3 linked regions of the Saccharomyces cerevisiae S288C genome follow. The protein of the gene in region 3 interacts with the protein of the main gene of each other region in a pairwise test. Each region holds a gene or a part of one and is shown on either strand. Other genes may lie near its edges. The genes, in order: REA1, YPL216W and IMH1.

What was found.
Region 1: the proteins of IMH1 (region 3) and REA1 interact in a two-hybrid assay, tested with the Saccharomyces cerevisiae proteins (one large-scale study listed by BioGRID).
Region 2: the proteins of IMH1 (region 3) and YPL216W interact in a two-hybrid assay, tested with the Saccharomyces cerevisiae proteins (one large-scale study listed by BioGRID).

The regions. Positions count from the first base shown.
Region 1 is NC_001144.5:360,675-365,623, reverse strand, and holds the start of REA1 (AAA family ATPase midasin), read left to right. Parts: upstream 1-1,885; coding exon 1,886-4,949. Other genes in the region: REX3 (RNA exonuclease), read right to left, coding at 294-1,508. UniProt on the Saccharomyces cerevisiae protein: Nuclear chaperone required for maturation and nuclear export of pre-60S ribosome subunits.
Region 2 is NC_001148.4:142,105-147,725, reverse strand, and holds YPL216W (uncharacterized protein), read right to left. Parts: upstream 3,906-5,621; coding exon 597-3,905; downstream 1-596. Other genes in the region: CBP3 (Cbp3p), read right to left, coding at 1-310; GTPase BMS1, read left to right, coding at 4,555-5,621. UniProt on the Saccharomyces cerevisiae protein: May be required for the activity of an ISWI chromatin-remodeling complex.
Region 3 is NC_001144.5:748,479-753,720, forward strand, and holds IMH1 (Imh1p), read right to left. Parts: upstream 3,292-5,242; coding exon 556-3,291; downstream 1-555. Other genes in the region: chitin deacetylase CDA2, read left to right, coding at 1-397; Ras family guanine nucleotide exchange factor CDC25, read right to left, coding at 3,746-5,242. UniProt on the Saccharomyces cerevisiae protein: Involved in vesicular transport between an endosomal compartment and the Golgi apparatus.

The sequences.
Region 1 (4,949 bases), 390 kb from region 3:
ATTAACTTGTTCTGGTAATTACTGACGGATAACAGGTACTTCTTTAAATAGGATTATGGTGCTTCAGCTATCATCAAGTTTGGTACATCCTGAACCCAATTTCACGATATTTTAATATTCAGATATTGAAAAGGTGCATTATTATTGTTCGCTTAAATACAGAAAATAGGAAAGCAATACGAAATCATTACTTTTATCATGTTGTTTCTTAACGTAATTACTTAATAAAACTCATGTGAACCGTATGAAATGTAATAACTATATATGTCTGCTCAACTTTGAATATGATCACATTATTTTTCCCACTTGTTTTGACTTGGAGAAATACCTATTTTGACTTTAACAACGTCCATCGTTGCTATTGCATCTTGAGAACTATCATGCTCGCCATTTTGGATTTTTCTACTCAAAACTTCAAACGCTAAGTTCTTCAAAGAAACCTTAAACTTTGTTCTTGAATAAAGTATTGCAGTATCTATAACCTTATTATGAAATAGCCTCATGACGTTCAGATCGTTCTCTAGTCCGTGCCCTATAAGAATACTATTTTTATTTATTAAGTTTTCGGATAAAAAAACATCAAGTGCCTCCTTGTACGTCGGGCAATTGGTTCGGTCAATCTCATGGACACCACTGAAGTCTGAATTCAGATCGACAATATCCCCTATTGGCTGAATTACATGATCAAATAGTGTCTTGCCGGTGAAAAAATCCACAATTGTTAAACGTATCATCTCATAGCCCAATGATGTAAAAGCCATTTCACAGTCAAGAGAAAGAACATTCTCAACACCATCAATGTCATCTGTACTAGAAAACTTCGAAATTTTGCATAACTCGTCATATGATTCTCCTCTAAACACATGGTGAAAAAACGTCTTGCATCCTAGCCTTAGAAAAGAAACGGAATCAGTAGTTTCACCACAGCATGGATACTGATGGTTCTTGGTATCTCTGTTGTATATTCTTTTCAAAGGGTGATACCTACATAGAGTCTTTTCCATGATGTCTGTTTTTTTGAAATTTGAGCTGCAACGCAAACAAGGTGCATACAGTTGCGTACTATTGTCATCATTAGTTTTATTTTGCATTTCCTTAACAATATACCCATTTTTCTCTAAGACCTTCGAATCCAAAATCAGAGCCTTTAAAGCTTCCATCGCTTTTGATTTTGTAGTGATAGAGTTTGCATTACCAATTGAGGATAAATGAGGCTTAGCTCCTTTAAGGGGGCGCCCATTAATTTTGATCTTCGAGAGATCTCCTTTATATTTAAGCACATCCCGCAGTAAAATGCTCATGTTAAACTTGTAACTCTGACCAGACAAGCTGTTTTTAGCAACATGGACTTCTAAGCGAGTGGCAAGTCTTTCAAGGTCAATATTAGTTCCTTTTGTGTGTGCATATGCCTTTTGTAGCTGCTTGAATAATTTCTGCAAAATTTTATATCTTTCTTGGAATCCAAGCGGTTGATTTACCAGATCAACCGGTCTCAACAAACTTCCCATACTAAAGCTTTCTCTTGATATATAGTCAAACTGAATGTATACTGAAACACATATTCAAGGCATTGATTTTAAATGCACTTGAACCGTTATTCCATTTCTTTTTCTACTCATCATTTATTGTCGCCCTTTACGAGGTATTTTTTCTTTTTCGAGTGAAAAATTTTAAAGAAGCGATGAGCTAAGGTCTATTTAGCTTTATGAAAAGAAAACATTATATCACTTACTGCTTTACTTTAGACATTCCTCTCCAAAGTGATTATTTTAAAGATTCAAAGTACCTCTGAGTTAATTTGACATCGAATTCTACTCTTATTATTTTAAGGTACCTCTACTTTACGCGGTCACATTATTTTTAAAACCGTTATAATCTGCTGAGAATGTCCCAGGATAGAATTTTGTTAGATTTAGACGTAGTTAACCAAAGGTTAATTCTCTTCAATTCTGCTTTTCCCTCTGATGCTATTGAAGCGCCCTTCCACTTTAGCAACAAGGAATCAACTTCTGAGAATTTAGACAATTTAGCAGGAACTATACTACATAGCCGTTCCATCACTGGTCATGTTTTCCTTTACAAACATATTTTTTTAGAGATAGTGGCACGTTGGATAAAGGACTCCAAAAAAAAAGATTACGTTCTTGTAATTGAAAAGTTGGCAAGTATAATTACAATATTTCCCGTTGCAATGCCATTAATTGAAGACTATTTAGATAAAGAGAATGATCATTTCATCACTATTCTTCAAAATCCATCCACACAAAAGGATTCCGACATGTTTAAAATACTATTAGCATACTATAGGTTACTATATCACAATAAAGAAGTATTTGCACGCTTCATTCAACCCGACATTTTATACCAACTTGTGGATTTACTCACCAAAGAACAAGAAAATCAGGTTGTTATATTTCTAGCATTAAAGGTTTTATCTTTATACTTAGACATGGGAGAAAAAACATTAAACGATATGCTCGACACTTATATAAAATCACGCGATTCATTGTTGGGCCATTTTGAGGGCGATTCTGGAATTGATTACAGCTTCCTCGAACTGAACGAAGCTAAGAGATGTGCAAATTTCTCTAAACTACCCAGTGTTCCAGAATGTTTCACTATAGAAAAAAAATCTAGCTACTTCATTATTGAGCCTCAGGATTTGAGTACTAAGGTCGCGTCAATCTGTGGCGTTATCGTCCCTAAGGTCCACACTATCCACGACAAAGTATTCTACCCATTAACCTTTGTCCCTACTCATAAAACGGTTTCCTCTCTTCGTCAACTCGGGAGAAAGATTCAAAATTCAACTCCAATAATGCTCATTGGAAAAGCGGGATCCGGTAAAACCTTTTTAATCAATGAGCTAAGTAAATATATGGGTTGCCATGACTCCATTGTGAAAATTCATTTAGGTGAACAAACTGATGCCAAGTTACTGATTGGTACTTATACCTCTGGTGACAAGCCAGGCACGTTTGAATGGAGAGCTGGTGTTCTCGCTACCGCGGTCAAAGAAGGGAGATGGGTACTTATAGAAGACATAGATAAAGCTCCTACAGATGTTTTATCAATACTTTTATCGCTTTTAGAAAAGCGCGAACTAACCATTCCATCCAGAGGAGAGACTGTAAAGGCTGCAAATGGTTTCCAGTTAATATCAACTGTTAGAATAAACGAAGATCATCAGAAGGATAGTTCCAATAAGATCTATAACTTGAATATGATTGGTATGAGAATCTGGAATGTTATTGAATTAGAGGAACCTAGCGAAGAGGATTTGACACACATTTTAGCCCAAAAGTTTCCCATTTTGACCAACCTTATCCCCAAACTAATCGATTCATACAAAAACGTCAAAAGTATTTATATGAACACCAAGTTCATTTCATTGAACAAGGGGGCACACACAAGAGTTGTATCTGTAAGAGATTTAATTAAGCTGTGCGAAAGGTTAGACATCCTATTCAAAAACAATGGCATCAACAAACCTGACCAACTAATCCAGTCTTCTGTCTACGACAGTATTTTCTCCGAAGCCGCCGACTGTTTCGCTGGCGCTATTGGAGAATTCAAAGCTTTGGAACCTATTATACAAGCAATCGGCGAGTCATTAGACATTGCTTCCTCAAGGATTTCGTTATTTTTGACCCAACATGTGCCCACTTTGGAAAACCTTGATGATAGCATTAAAATTGGAAGAGCCGTATTACTTAAGGAAAAGCTAAATATACAAAAAAAATCAATGAACAGCACATTGTTCGCATTTACGAATCATTCTTTAAGACTAATGGAACAGATTTCTGTTTGTATACAGATGACTGAACCTGTTTTACTAGTCGGTGAAACGGGTACCGGGAAAACTACAGTCGTTCAACAACTTGCTAAGATGTTAGCAAAAAAATTAACGGTAATCAATGTTTCACAACAAACAGAAACTGGTGATCTTCTTGGTGGGTACAAACCCGTAAATTCTAAAACAGTTGCAGTTCCTATACAAGAAAATTTTGAAACTCTTTTTAATGCTACATTTTCCTTAAAGAAGAACGAGAAGTTTCACAAGATGCTACATAGGTGCTTCAACAAGAATCAATGGAAGAACGTTGTTAAACTTTGGAACGAAGCGTACAAAATGGCTCAAAGCATATTAAAAATTACAAACACTGAAAATGAAAACGAAAATGCAAAGAAGAAGAAAAGAAGACTCAATACTCATGAAAAAAAATTGTTACTTGACAAATGGGCTGACTTCAATGACTCAGTGAAGAAGTTTGAGGCCCAGTCTAGCTCTATTGAAAACTCGTTTGTCTTCAATTTTGTCGAGGGTTCTTTGGTAAAGACTATCAGGGCTGGGGAGTGGCTATTGCTCGATGAAGTGAATTTAGCAACCGCAGATACCTTAGAAAGTATTTCTGACCTTCTCACCGAGCCTGATTCTCGTAGTATTCTTCTTTCAGAAAAGGGTGACGCTGAGCCTATAAAAGCTCACCCCGATTTTAGAATATTTGCTTGTATGAACCCCGCTACTGATGTTGGTAAAAGAGACTTACCTATGGGTATCAGATCAAGATTTACCGAAATATATGTACATTCTCCGGAACGTGATATTACTGATTTGCTTTCCATAATTGATAAATATATTGGAAAGTACAGCGTCAGCGATGAATGGGTAGGAAATGACATCGCTGAACTTTACCTTGAAGCCAAAAAACTCTCCGATAACAATACTATAGTTGATGGCTCAAACCAAAAACCACACTTTAGTATCCGTACCCTGACGCGTACATTGCTTTATGTTACTGATATTATTCATATCTACGGTCTACGCCGTTCCCTGTATGATGGATTCTGTATGAGTTTTTTGACTTTACTGGACCAAAAATCTGAGGCCATTCTGAAGCCAGTAATAGAAAAATTCACATTGGGGAGGCTAAAAAATGTCAAGTCAA
Region 2 (5,621 bases), on a different chromosome or scaffold from region 3:
GAAATGCTCGAATTACTAGTTCACCCAAGGCTTCTTTCCATTTGGGAAGTTCGTACTTTGACGATTCATATTTACTATGAGCTAGAGGAATTTTATTCTGAGCAGTTTTCACTGGTGCTTTATTGCTTACATCTAGTGGTTTCGAATTCAGATGTGAGCTTTTTGCTAAAAGCTCTGGCGAATCTTGTGCAGTTTCTTTATTTTGCTTGAAAACACATGTTTGATGCAAATAAGCTCTCGAGTAGTAAAAAGGGGACTTTCTAAGGAAAACAGGGAGTCGACCTGAAGTAAATCTATTGACTGACATCATCAAGTGTTGGAATAGCTGAAGAGATTGTTACGGAGATCATAGTGTTTGCTAAATATTAATCTTACTAATGCGTCAGTCGAGGACCAATTTTGACGTTGTTTTCCTTGCTGGCTATAAATTCAGAAGAACGCCGGGTAAAGCCTAAATACAACTCCAGTCAGACGCCCTGAAATGGGCCAATTTATATACGAGGAATAATGAATGGTGAAGATTAAATAGTAAAAGATATTTCTAATATCTTTCTAAGGCGTATACAGGAAGAGTGATTTGAACTGCAGAGTTGTTTCTAGTTGCGTTCTTCATCCTCTCGTCGTCTTGAAATAAGTTGACATTCAATCTCCTCTAATATACCCTGCACATCAAGATGTGCAGCTTTATCTACTCGTTGAGAACTTATCCCATAGCCTGAAACATGACTAATATGCTTATACCTCTGATGATTTAAAAGCTTCGTAAGAATATCCTCTTGCCTTTTTCTTTTCGTTTCAACTATAAATTCGAGGTCTATCGTCCTCAATTGTTCGAAATGAAAATTCAAAGGATAAATCAAATTTTGTTGCTTTTTGAGAAGTGCTCTTTCACATTCTCCAAGGTGAGCTACGTCTTTTAAAATCGCTTCCAAAACGAGATCATTCTTTGTCCTTGATAGTTTTTTGGAAATTTTCTCCATGTTGGAAAAATGTTGGCCGTTGGATGTACAAGTTGTCTCAATTCTTTTCAGTTCAGGAAACGTGAACTCGTTATTTTTCAAAAGTTTGTGATTTTTTTTGAAGGTTTCATCACATTCAATACGCCTTTTAATTTTGAACTGTTGCTTGTATGATACTTCAATACGGTCCATTTTGGATGTCAAAGCTTTCTTCAATTGTCCCTCATTTTCTCTTAAATCATCCAACCTATCTACTAACATATGTATATCTTCTATATCGTTGAAGAAAGCCCATTGATGATGAGAGAGTAGGAGCTTTTCTGGAGTTTCTGATATAATTTTTTTGTCTATGAATGCCGGAATAGTTGGCCTCATTAAGATACCGTTTGAATTAATTATCATGAAATTCTCACCTTGAGCAATTTGATAGTAAGACCCGTCTGTCGACCTAAATATTGAAAAGACTTCTTTTGTCGCGTAGGCAGTACCTTTTGCTTTAGCTAACAACTCCCATTTTTTCAAAGATTCGACGTCGACATCTAAGCAAAAGTTTATATCCGCTTCAGAGGGTCCTTGAACCCACAAAAAACAGCAGTTGTAAAGTTCCTCATTTTTTTCACTGATGGCTGATGACGATCCATTTGAGTCCATCCAATAATATCGATTTCCATTTCTATCTTTACCCAAAATCTCTAGTCTCTTGATATCGCTCTGAATCAATTTTGCCTCTAGGAAGGCGATATCTTCCATTAAGTATGCAATTTTCACTTTAAGGGCATTGACCTTACCTTTACATTCATCTGATCCATATCGGTTCATTGAAACGTTGCTGTGAAGCTTCACGCGATTTTTGGTTAACGTTTTTAGTTGCCGTTTCAATTTGATATACTCTTTTTTTGCACTATCCAACTTTAAGCGGATTCCATTGCACAGTTTTGGTACTTTATCTACCAACTCCTTAATATAACTCGAGAAATTGGACGCAAAATCTACGAGAACCCATAAAACATCAATTTTATCTTTTATAGATAATCTCTTGCGAAAGTTATCCCAGAGCTCATCACCTAAATTTACAAAATTCATGGATAAAGGTAGTATTTTTTTTGTGATACATTTTGCGACATCACTATATGCTATCATATGTGTATTCTGTTGCAAGATTCCAAGGAGACAGATCAACCAATTGCCGTTGCTAAAGTTTTTATTGTGCAAAAGTTTAACCCAGCTAGTATCTCCATAGTTCAAACACTTTTCTATAGCTATATCAATTTCTGTTTTATTTCCTTCCTCCTTTCGCTTTTCTTCAGTCCAATTGTCCATCAGATTACAATTCCAATCAGGTTCATTATCCGTCATCAGACACATTAACGAGCAAACTATATCAATGTAAAGTATATTCACTTTTTCGTACGATTGAAACTCCATATCGTCATTTTTTAGAGGCTTCCCTTTAAAAATGGAATACATTACAAATTCAGTACTTTTATCCGTTATAAATTTCCTCATTTTCTGGTTTCTGGTGAAATTGCTAGGTATTCGTTGACTCTCATCTGCATTAAAGACGTTAGCCTTCTCACGCTGGGATACGTTACTACTGGTCACTTGATTATATATTTCGTTTCTTGGCTTCTCATTTGTGAAACTCCCTTTGCTGTTGTAAGTTTTAAGAAAGTTTATTTTGACATATTCATCTACTAAAGCCTCCGGACTAGTACACTTGATAGTAGTAAGGAACTGATCAAAATTAAAATGTGATAGACCAATAAAACGTCCAAAAAAGCTCAGGAATTGATAAACAACCAATAGTCGTTCCGTTGGAAATTGACTGCACTCTTTGAACCATTTTTGATCGATATTCTTATATTCTAAGGAGCTATCTAAGTAGCTGATATTTTCAAATGGTATCGAAGGCCCAGTGAATGGAAGCTCCTTGTCGTCGACGGTTCCCTTCAAATCATTGTAGGCAAGGGAGTTCACATTATCGTAAATGTGGTCAAATGAGACTGAAATCTCGTCGTCAATTGCTTTTATTTTAGATAGTGACGTTTCCGACGTTTCCGACGTTTCCGACGTTTCCTTCCAGTCAGCAGGTTCAACATCGCTCTCTGGTGGTATAGTAAGAGGAGTGTAAAGCTCGGAAGAAGATGAGTTCATTCTATCCGGCAAATAATCAATCATATTAGGAGAGCATTTAGGGTTTACATCATATCTTTCTATATATTCTTGTTTCACCCTCCATGGTGCGTGCTCCTTATTCGATACTTTTATGAGTATTTCATTAAGAAAACACGCAATTATGAATTTAGAAAAGTGTGATTCTGGCCTTTTAATTTCATTCTGGCCTACAATTAGGGCCGCACCTTTAGATTCTCGATTCAGGCATTCTGTGATTAAATACAGTGACAATTTTGGGGCAGAAATTTCTCCCTTTTCACTTTCCATCATCCCGTTAGATTGAAACACATCCTTGACAAGGAACAACGTGACATTGTTTTCAATAGTTGGTGATTCTACCAAGTTAGGCTCTCCTTCTTTATAGGTAATCAATGCATTTTTTTGGATAGTTTTCAAGCACACCGTATCGCCTATAAAGAAACGGTTACTAAAACGCTGAAATGCGCTTTCTACAAGGTGTCCTACCTTCCTTATCGGACTGAAGTTTGCGAAATTTGCTATAGCCTTCCTTAGTTCTTTTGGTAAAAGATATCTGACCTTTTCACGGTGCTGTTCTTCGCTTTTTAACGCCTTGAAATACGAAAGGCCATCTTTTCCACTAATCTCACAGGTGAATATATCCCTTTTGTAAAAATCTAGCTTTTTTAAATCACTGTCATAATCATTTATACGCTCGCTACTTTCTTTAATCACCCATGGAGTTTCAGAGAAGGAATCAGCAGACTGTCCTATTTCCTTAGGTTGTATTTTCCTTCTGTTAAGCAGAACCATTTTTGCTTTGAATTTAAAGTACGGCTAGAAGAAGAGCCAAACTAGGGATTGCGATTTTTACTGAATGAAAATGATTGTCTCTCTTACTAAGTCTGCTAACATTTATCAGGTTCATAATGTTTACTATTGAAGTGGCGCGTTACAAGAAAACAAGTCATCCCATATTGAAATGACAACAAATAGAAAAATACACATAATTCCATATCGCTAAATCACACTATCATATACAAAATGGACCAAAGTAAACAAATGTCGATTCATGCAAGTATTGTTACATATCTTGTCACTTTCTCTTCCAAAAGTTGAGGATAGCTGTAAAGGTGCATTTGCTAAACTCTCAGAAACTGCTGGTCCTAAACAATATCAAAACAAATATCAGATAGGTAAGCTTAGATTATTTTAAGGACATGTGAGCCATAGTGCAGATACTCGTACTACTGTTGTAAATATTTCTGTAATTTCAAAGTTGAGATTATCTAGATGAAGTTTTTTTTTTGTTATCGCCTAAGTTTAATGTCCGTACAAATGAAAAATTTTCAAGGCGATGAGCTGAAGTGAAGCTTCAAAATTAAGGAAAGTATTTGCGCTGTTAAGGTAAAAATATCACATAATAGTAGCCTTTAATCAGCCATCTGAGTTATCTGAAACGATGGAGCAGTCTAATAAACAGCACCGTAAGGCGAAGGAGAAGAATACAGCAAAAAAGAAGCTCCATACGCAGGGTCATAATGCAAAGGCCTTTGCCGTGGCAGCCCCAGGTAAGATGGCGAGAACTATGCAAAGGTCAAGTGATGTGAACGAAAGAAAACTGCATGTTCCTATGGTTGATCGTACCCCTGAAGATGATCCGCCTCCATTTATCGTCGCTGTCGTGGGTCCACCTGGAACAGGAAAGACTACTTTGATTCGGTCCCTCGTCAGGAGAATGACAAAAAGCACTTTGAATGATATTCAAGGTCCTATTACTGTTGTCTCTGGTAAACATAGAAGACTAACTTTTTTGGAGTGCCCTGCGGACGATCTGAATGCGATGATTGATATTGCTAAGATTGCCGACTTGGTTCTTTTACTAATTGACGGTAATTTCGGTTTTGAAATGGAAACAATGGAATTCTTAAATATTGCTCAACATCACGGTATGCCAAGAGTACTTGGTGTAGCTACACATCTTGATCTGTTTAAATCTCAGTCAACTTTGAGAGCTTCTAAGAAAAGATTAAAGCACAGATTCTGGACGGAAGTTTATCAAGGTGCAAAATTATTTTACCTATCTGGTGTGATTAATGGAAGGTATCCTGATAGAGAGATTTTAAACCTTTCACGATTTATATCTGTTATGAAATTCAGACCATTAAAATGGAGGAACGAACATCCCTATATGTTGGCTGACAGATTCACAGATTTAACTCATCCGGAATTAATAGAGACTCAAGGACTGCAAATCGACCGCAAAGTCGCTATCTATGGTTATTTGCACGGTACTCCTTTGCCTTCTGCTCCGGGCACTAGGGTGCATATTGCTGGTGTTGGTGATTTCTCAGTAGCACAAATTGAAAAATTACCAGATCCATGTCCCACACCTTTTTACCAACAGAAACTGGATGATTTTGAACGTGAAAAAATGAAAGAAGAGGCAAAGGCTAACGGAGAAATTACAACTGCCTCTACGACAAGAAGACGTAAAAGGTTAGATGATAAAGATAAATTGATATATGC
Region 3 (5,242 bases):
TGTATCGAATGAAAAAATTATAGCTCAAATTGAATGGTCCATCTGGGCGATGAATGCTACTGGCAACCATACCCCCAAATGGTTCAGACCTCCATATGGCGGAATAGATAATAGAGTAAGAGCAATAACAAGGCAATTTGGCTTACAAGCCGTCTTATGGGATCACGATACTTTTGATTGGAGCCTCCTTCTCAATGATTCTGTCATAACTGAACAAGAAATTCTTCAAAATGTAATAAACTGGAACAAGTCAGGAACCGGATTAATATTAGAACACGATTCAACGGAAAAAACTGTCGATCTTGCCATTAAAATAAATAAGTTGATAGGTGATGATCAATCAACAGTTTCTCATTGTGTCGGCGGAATTGATTACATAAAAGAATTCTTGTCCTAATTTTCAGGGAATTGAAGAAAATAAGGAAGAATTAAATTACAATTTAAAAAGAAATTGCTTTAGTATTTTATATATAGACATGCAGCAACTTCTTGATATATTTCAGGAAGAAAAAAACTGTTTCAATATATACGTATCTTCTGCTTTCAGCTACATTTTTACTTCAGAGACATAACCAGTCTTTTTTCATCAGTACTGTCCAGTTGTAACAACATAGAAATTACAGGAAGTAATTGGTTCCGTTGTTCCTTGTGCTCCAAAAATCCCAACAAAACATTTTTTATATATGCAATTTTTTCATTTTTCTCAGAGTCTAACTCCAATGAACTTGATGATCGTATCTTCTCTAATTTAGTTGGATTAGAGTTATTCGCTGGTGAGGAATCAATATTCGCGTTAGCTAGAGTACCGATAGAACCAGACCTACTAACTCTTCCTGACTTGTCACTGTATTGTCTTTCCTTTAAAGCATTCAATTGAGAGGACAATGAACGATAATTTTTTAGTAATCGATCAAATTTCTTGTTAAGTTCGTTATTTAAATTCAGAAGTTTCTCATTGGCAGACTGTAGCTCAAAATTCTTTTCATCAGCCTTAGACAATGAGAGTTTTAAATTAGATGTGATCTGTTCCAACTGATCGGAATCATCTGAAGTGGCTTGAGTCTTCCTTTTGATGTCATTGTTAACATGTTTCAATGCGTCAACCTCTGATTTTAGTCCCTCTTCACGAAGCTTTAAAGCGTGTATTTCCGATTTCAGCTCAGTTACTGTATGCTTCCACTCTTGTAATTCAGTGGCCTTTCTGGATGTTTGTAAGTCTAATTCTGCTTCCAATTTATTCTTTTCATCCGTTAAATAGGCCAATTTATTCTCCAACTCTTTTTGTTTGCTCGAATCATCTGTCTGACTGTCCGAAACTAACCTTCTCAATGTGTTAGCTTCTCTGGTTTTGTCTTGAACAATATTAGCATATTCATTTAGTTCATCTTCTAAAGATAAAATTTTTTTTGTAGATTCCTTCAACTTGACATTTAGTTCCTCACATTGTCTTTTGATAGAATCTATGTGTTCATTCGAATTACTTTTTACATTTTGCAAGGTATTGTATTTTTCTTGCAAAATATTCAATCTTTCCGATAATTTACCATTTTCTTTCAAATACTCCTCGTAGGAATTAGAATTCTTTGCGATATCATTATGCAGTGTCTCATTTTCCTTTTTTAATAAGTCTAATCTGTTAGAAATTTTAGCATGATCTTTTCTCAGCTGTTCTGTGGATTTTTCAGCCACGTCCTTTTGCTCACTAAATTGTTTAACTTGTTCCTCCAAGTAACTCACAGTTTTTTCCTTTTGTTTATAAGAGGTTCTTAAAGAAGTAAGCTCCTTTGTTATGTTTGATTTTTCGTAGGTAAGTTGAGATATCTCCTCATTTAATTTGGCTACCTTGTTCTGCGATGTAGTCTGCTCTTTCTCCTTTTCTGTACATAAATTCTTCAGATGCTCTACTTTCTTGCTCAATAACTCTATCTTACTTCTCAACTCAGTATTTTTAGCTTCGTAGGCCTCGATCATCGTTGCATTTTTATGGCGTAAATCATCGAGCTCCAGCTTAACGGTTTTCACTTCTTCATTTTGTTTACTCGAAGACTCTTTAATCTCATCTTTTGCGTCCACAAGCTCATTGCCTACAGTCCTCAGCATATCTCTCACCTCCTCTAGCTCCGAATTTTTTTCTTTCAATGACTTCTTGGTATCGATCAACTCGGTGTTAAGGGTTTCCAGCTCCTTTGCTGATTTTTCGAGCTGTGAGTTTTCCAATTCTTTAGCATCTTTTAGTTCTGCTTCTATATCTTCATACTTTTGCTTCCAATCTTCACAATCTTTATATTTTTCTTGTAATTCTTGCAAATTTTCTTTAAGCTTATCATATTCTTCAGTATTGATTGAGTTATCGACCGTTTCCTCTTCACTGATATCACCCGTAGTTATGCCTCCCTTATTTTTCTTTCCCTTGTTTCTATTCTTTTTCCTTCTGTTATTGTTTCCTACATTTTGATGAGATATCGCCTTCGGTAACTCCTTCATTTTTTTTTCCAATTCACTCAGCTTGCGCTCTTTCTCTTTTAAAGTAATATTTAGTTCTGCCAACTCTGAGGACTTTTCCTCCATTATAGTACTTTTCGAAGACAAATTTTGCTCCAATTCGGTTATCTTCATTCGACTGTCCTCGAGAGAATGGTTCTTTATAGCCAATTCTTCCTTCAGTTCGGATATAGATACTTCTTCTTTCTGTTTTTTGGCCTCCCTTTCTTCCTTTAGTATATTTTCCAGTGCAACTATTTTTTCTCTCAAACCTGAAACAGTATCATTTTTTTCTTTTTGTACAGTATCCAATTCTATGTTTAAAGCTTCCATTTTTTTTTTTAGATCGTCTATGTCATTTTTATAATTTTGCTCTTTTTTCAAAAATTCCTCTTCTTTATCCTTCAGAGTTTCACTAGAGGCGCTTTCTGGAATTTCCGAGTTCTGCTTAGTTAATCTCTTGATCTCATCATTCAATAGGTTATTTTTGTTGTTTAAATCCTGGAAAAAAGCTGGCAACGTATCCACTGCGTCGTCAATATTAGATATGGGTGTATTTTCCGCTAAAATCTTTTCAACAGCCTCTAACTTCTCTGACTTTAATTTTTCATTTTTGTATGCGGAGAGTAGCAAAGGGTATTTTTGTTCATATTTCTCAAATTTTCTTAATTTAGCTTGTATTTCTTTTGGCAAGCCACTCTTATCATCTTCGATTTGTTGTTCTGACGGGGTAGGGCTCATATCATCGGCTAAGCCCTTCGCTAATTCATCGGTAAGATTCTTACCAATTTGTGACAGCTGTTTGAACATTGAATCAGCAAATGTTTCCCTAAGTTAAAATCACCTCAAATGTAACTCCTGTTGCTTACTATTTGACGTTTCTGCTACATTTGGTTCTCTTATATTGCTGGATCTGAAAATCCGAACTATGAGAATGCGGGTAATAGCTTTTCATAGAATCACTAATTGATATTTTTTCAGGTAATAAGTTTCCTCTAATCGGGCATTTAAAATCTTGGATCGATAACTTAACTGGGTGTAATAAAATATATAAAGATATAAAATAGATATATATATATAAAACGAACTTTATCAAGAAGAACTGCAAATGAAGCGTACTCTCAAATCCTCGAAAACGAAAAACACTCCACCAGTACAGTATTATCACGAAGAATATTAAGTAAAAGCAGCCATCTTAAATAATAGAGTGTAGCAATCAAACATAAAGCTAAGGTTCTTCTTGATTAGCAAATTGTATAAACTTTTATCGAAATAACCTAGAAGGAGGTTTTTTCTTACCTAGCTTCAAAAAATTGCCATTTTTATCATCTGTAAATTCACTTAGGAATTTTGCAGTTTTTGTACCGCTAGCAGAAGAAGCATGCGTACTGCCTTTGGTGTTTCCTGATCTCGGTTCCACTTGCAGTGATAATTGATACTGCTTTTCAATGTGGGGGACATTTTCCAAAGACGCTTCTATAACGGTCTGAATATCATCCAATCGTTTCAGCTTGTAATGGAATCTTTTAAAGCTTATAATTTCCTCCACTATATTTGCGATTTTAGTCCTCTTGCTGAAGTTTATTATGTTGGTTGAATTGTGAAGAAAATCTGGGTTTCCGACAAACGTAAATGTTAAATCAGATAGGTATACACCAAAAAAGGGAACACATGCAACGTCCGTCACGGATCGCAACAGCTCTCTATACTTCACAAAATTTCTCTTGGAATCCATAAGGTTGTTTAGGTTCTTCAGAAGGTCCTTCGACTCAGTGGAAACTAAATCCCATGTCTTTTTCAGTCGGTAGATTGGGGAGGAATACAAAGCGGACACTATGGCAGTCATTGAAGAAAAATTATTCAACTCTTTACAATGCTGGGCAACGGTAACAAAATATTGCGTTAATTTTGAACGTGTCTTGACATCTGCCTGTTTTACAATGGTATGAGAAACAAAATTAGTTAGCGTATTAGCATTAGCTATAAATTTCGTAATGTTCGGAGAACCACCCATATTACAATACTTGGTACCCCATGCCCTATCCAAGCATTCAAACATAGTGATCCTGAGGTATAAGTCATGTTCAAGTACAGTCAATTGTGTGGCATATGTGTATGGGTCAATATCCAAGAGCTTCAATTTCTTCAATCTAAAAAACGCTGAAGAAGCAGAAGATGGTAAAGAAGACGAAGACATGTGTATCGGTGATTTATTGTCACGTTTAGTTGTCTGTACGACTGCCGATACCGAATCTTGTTGCTTAGGATCCACTGGTTCTTTCTCATTCTCATTTATCAGTTTTTCATTTATCTTTTGCAAAAGATCCTCTGCCCCCGGTATTTTCTCCGATACAACCATCTTGGCAAAATTTAGAATCAGTGGTATGCCAGGTTCATAATAATTTCTTGTCCAATACTGCGTCAAAAATGTTCTCATAATGTTGACCACACGGCATTTAATCGGGTTTGACTTTTTTTCTATCCAAATATTGTAATCATCGTAACTCAGCCCTTCAGGAGGATACAAGTTGTACCTGTAAATCAGGGCATAAAAAAACTCTCTTGTGGTTAATATACTTCTGAAAGTTATTAACATTGTAACATTGAAAGCCGCATCAACAAGTTCATGACTGGTTAAATGTTCAATCAGTGCCTCTTTTGTCCCGCCACGAATTTTTCCTCTTGAGTCATAGACAAGACTAGTTTCATAATCTGAAGTTAAAAACCATGGAAGGTTTTTCTCTATGTTCGCAGCTTTGCG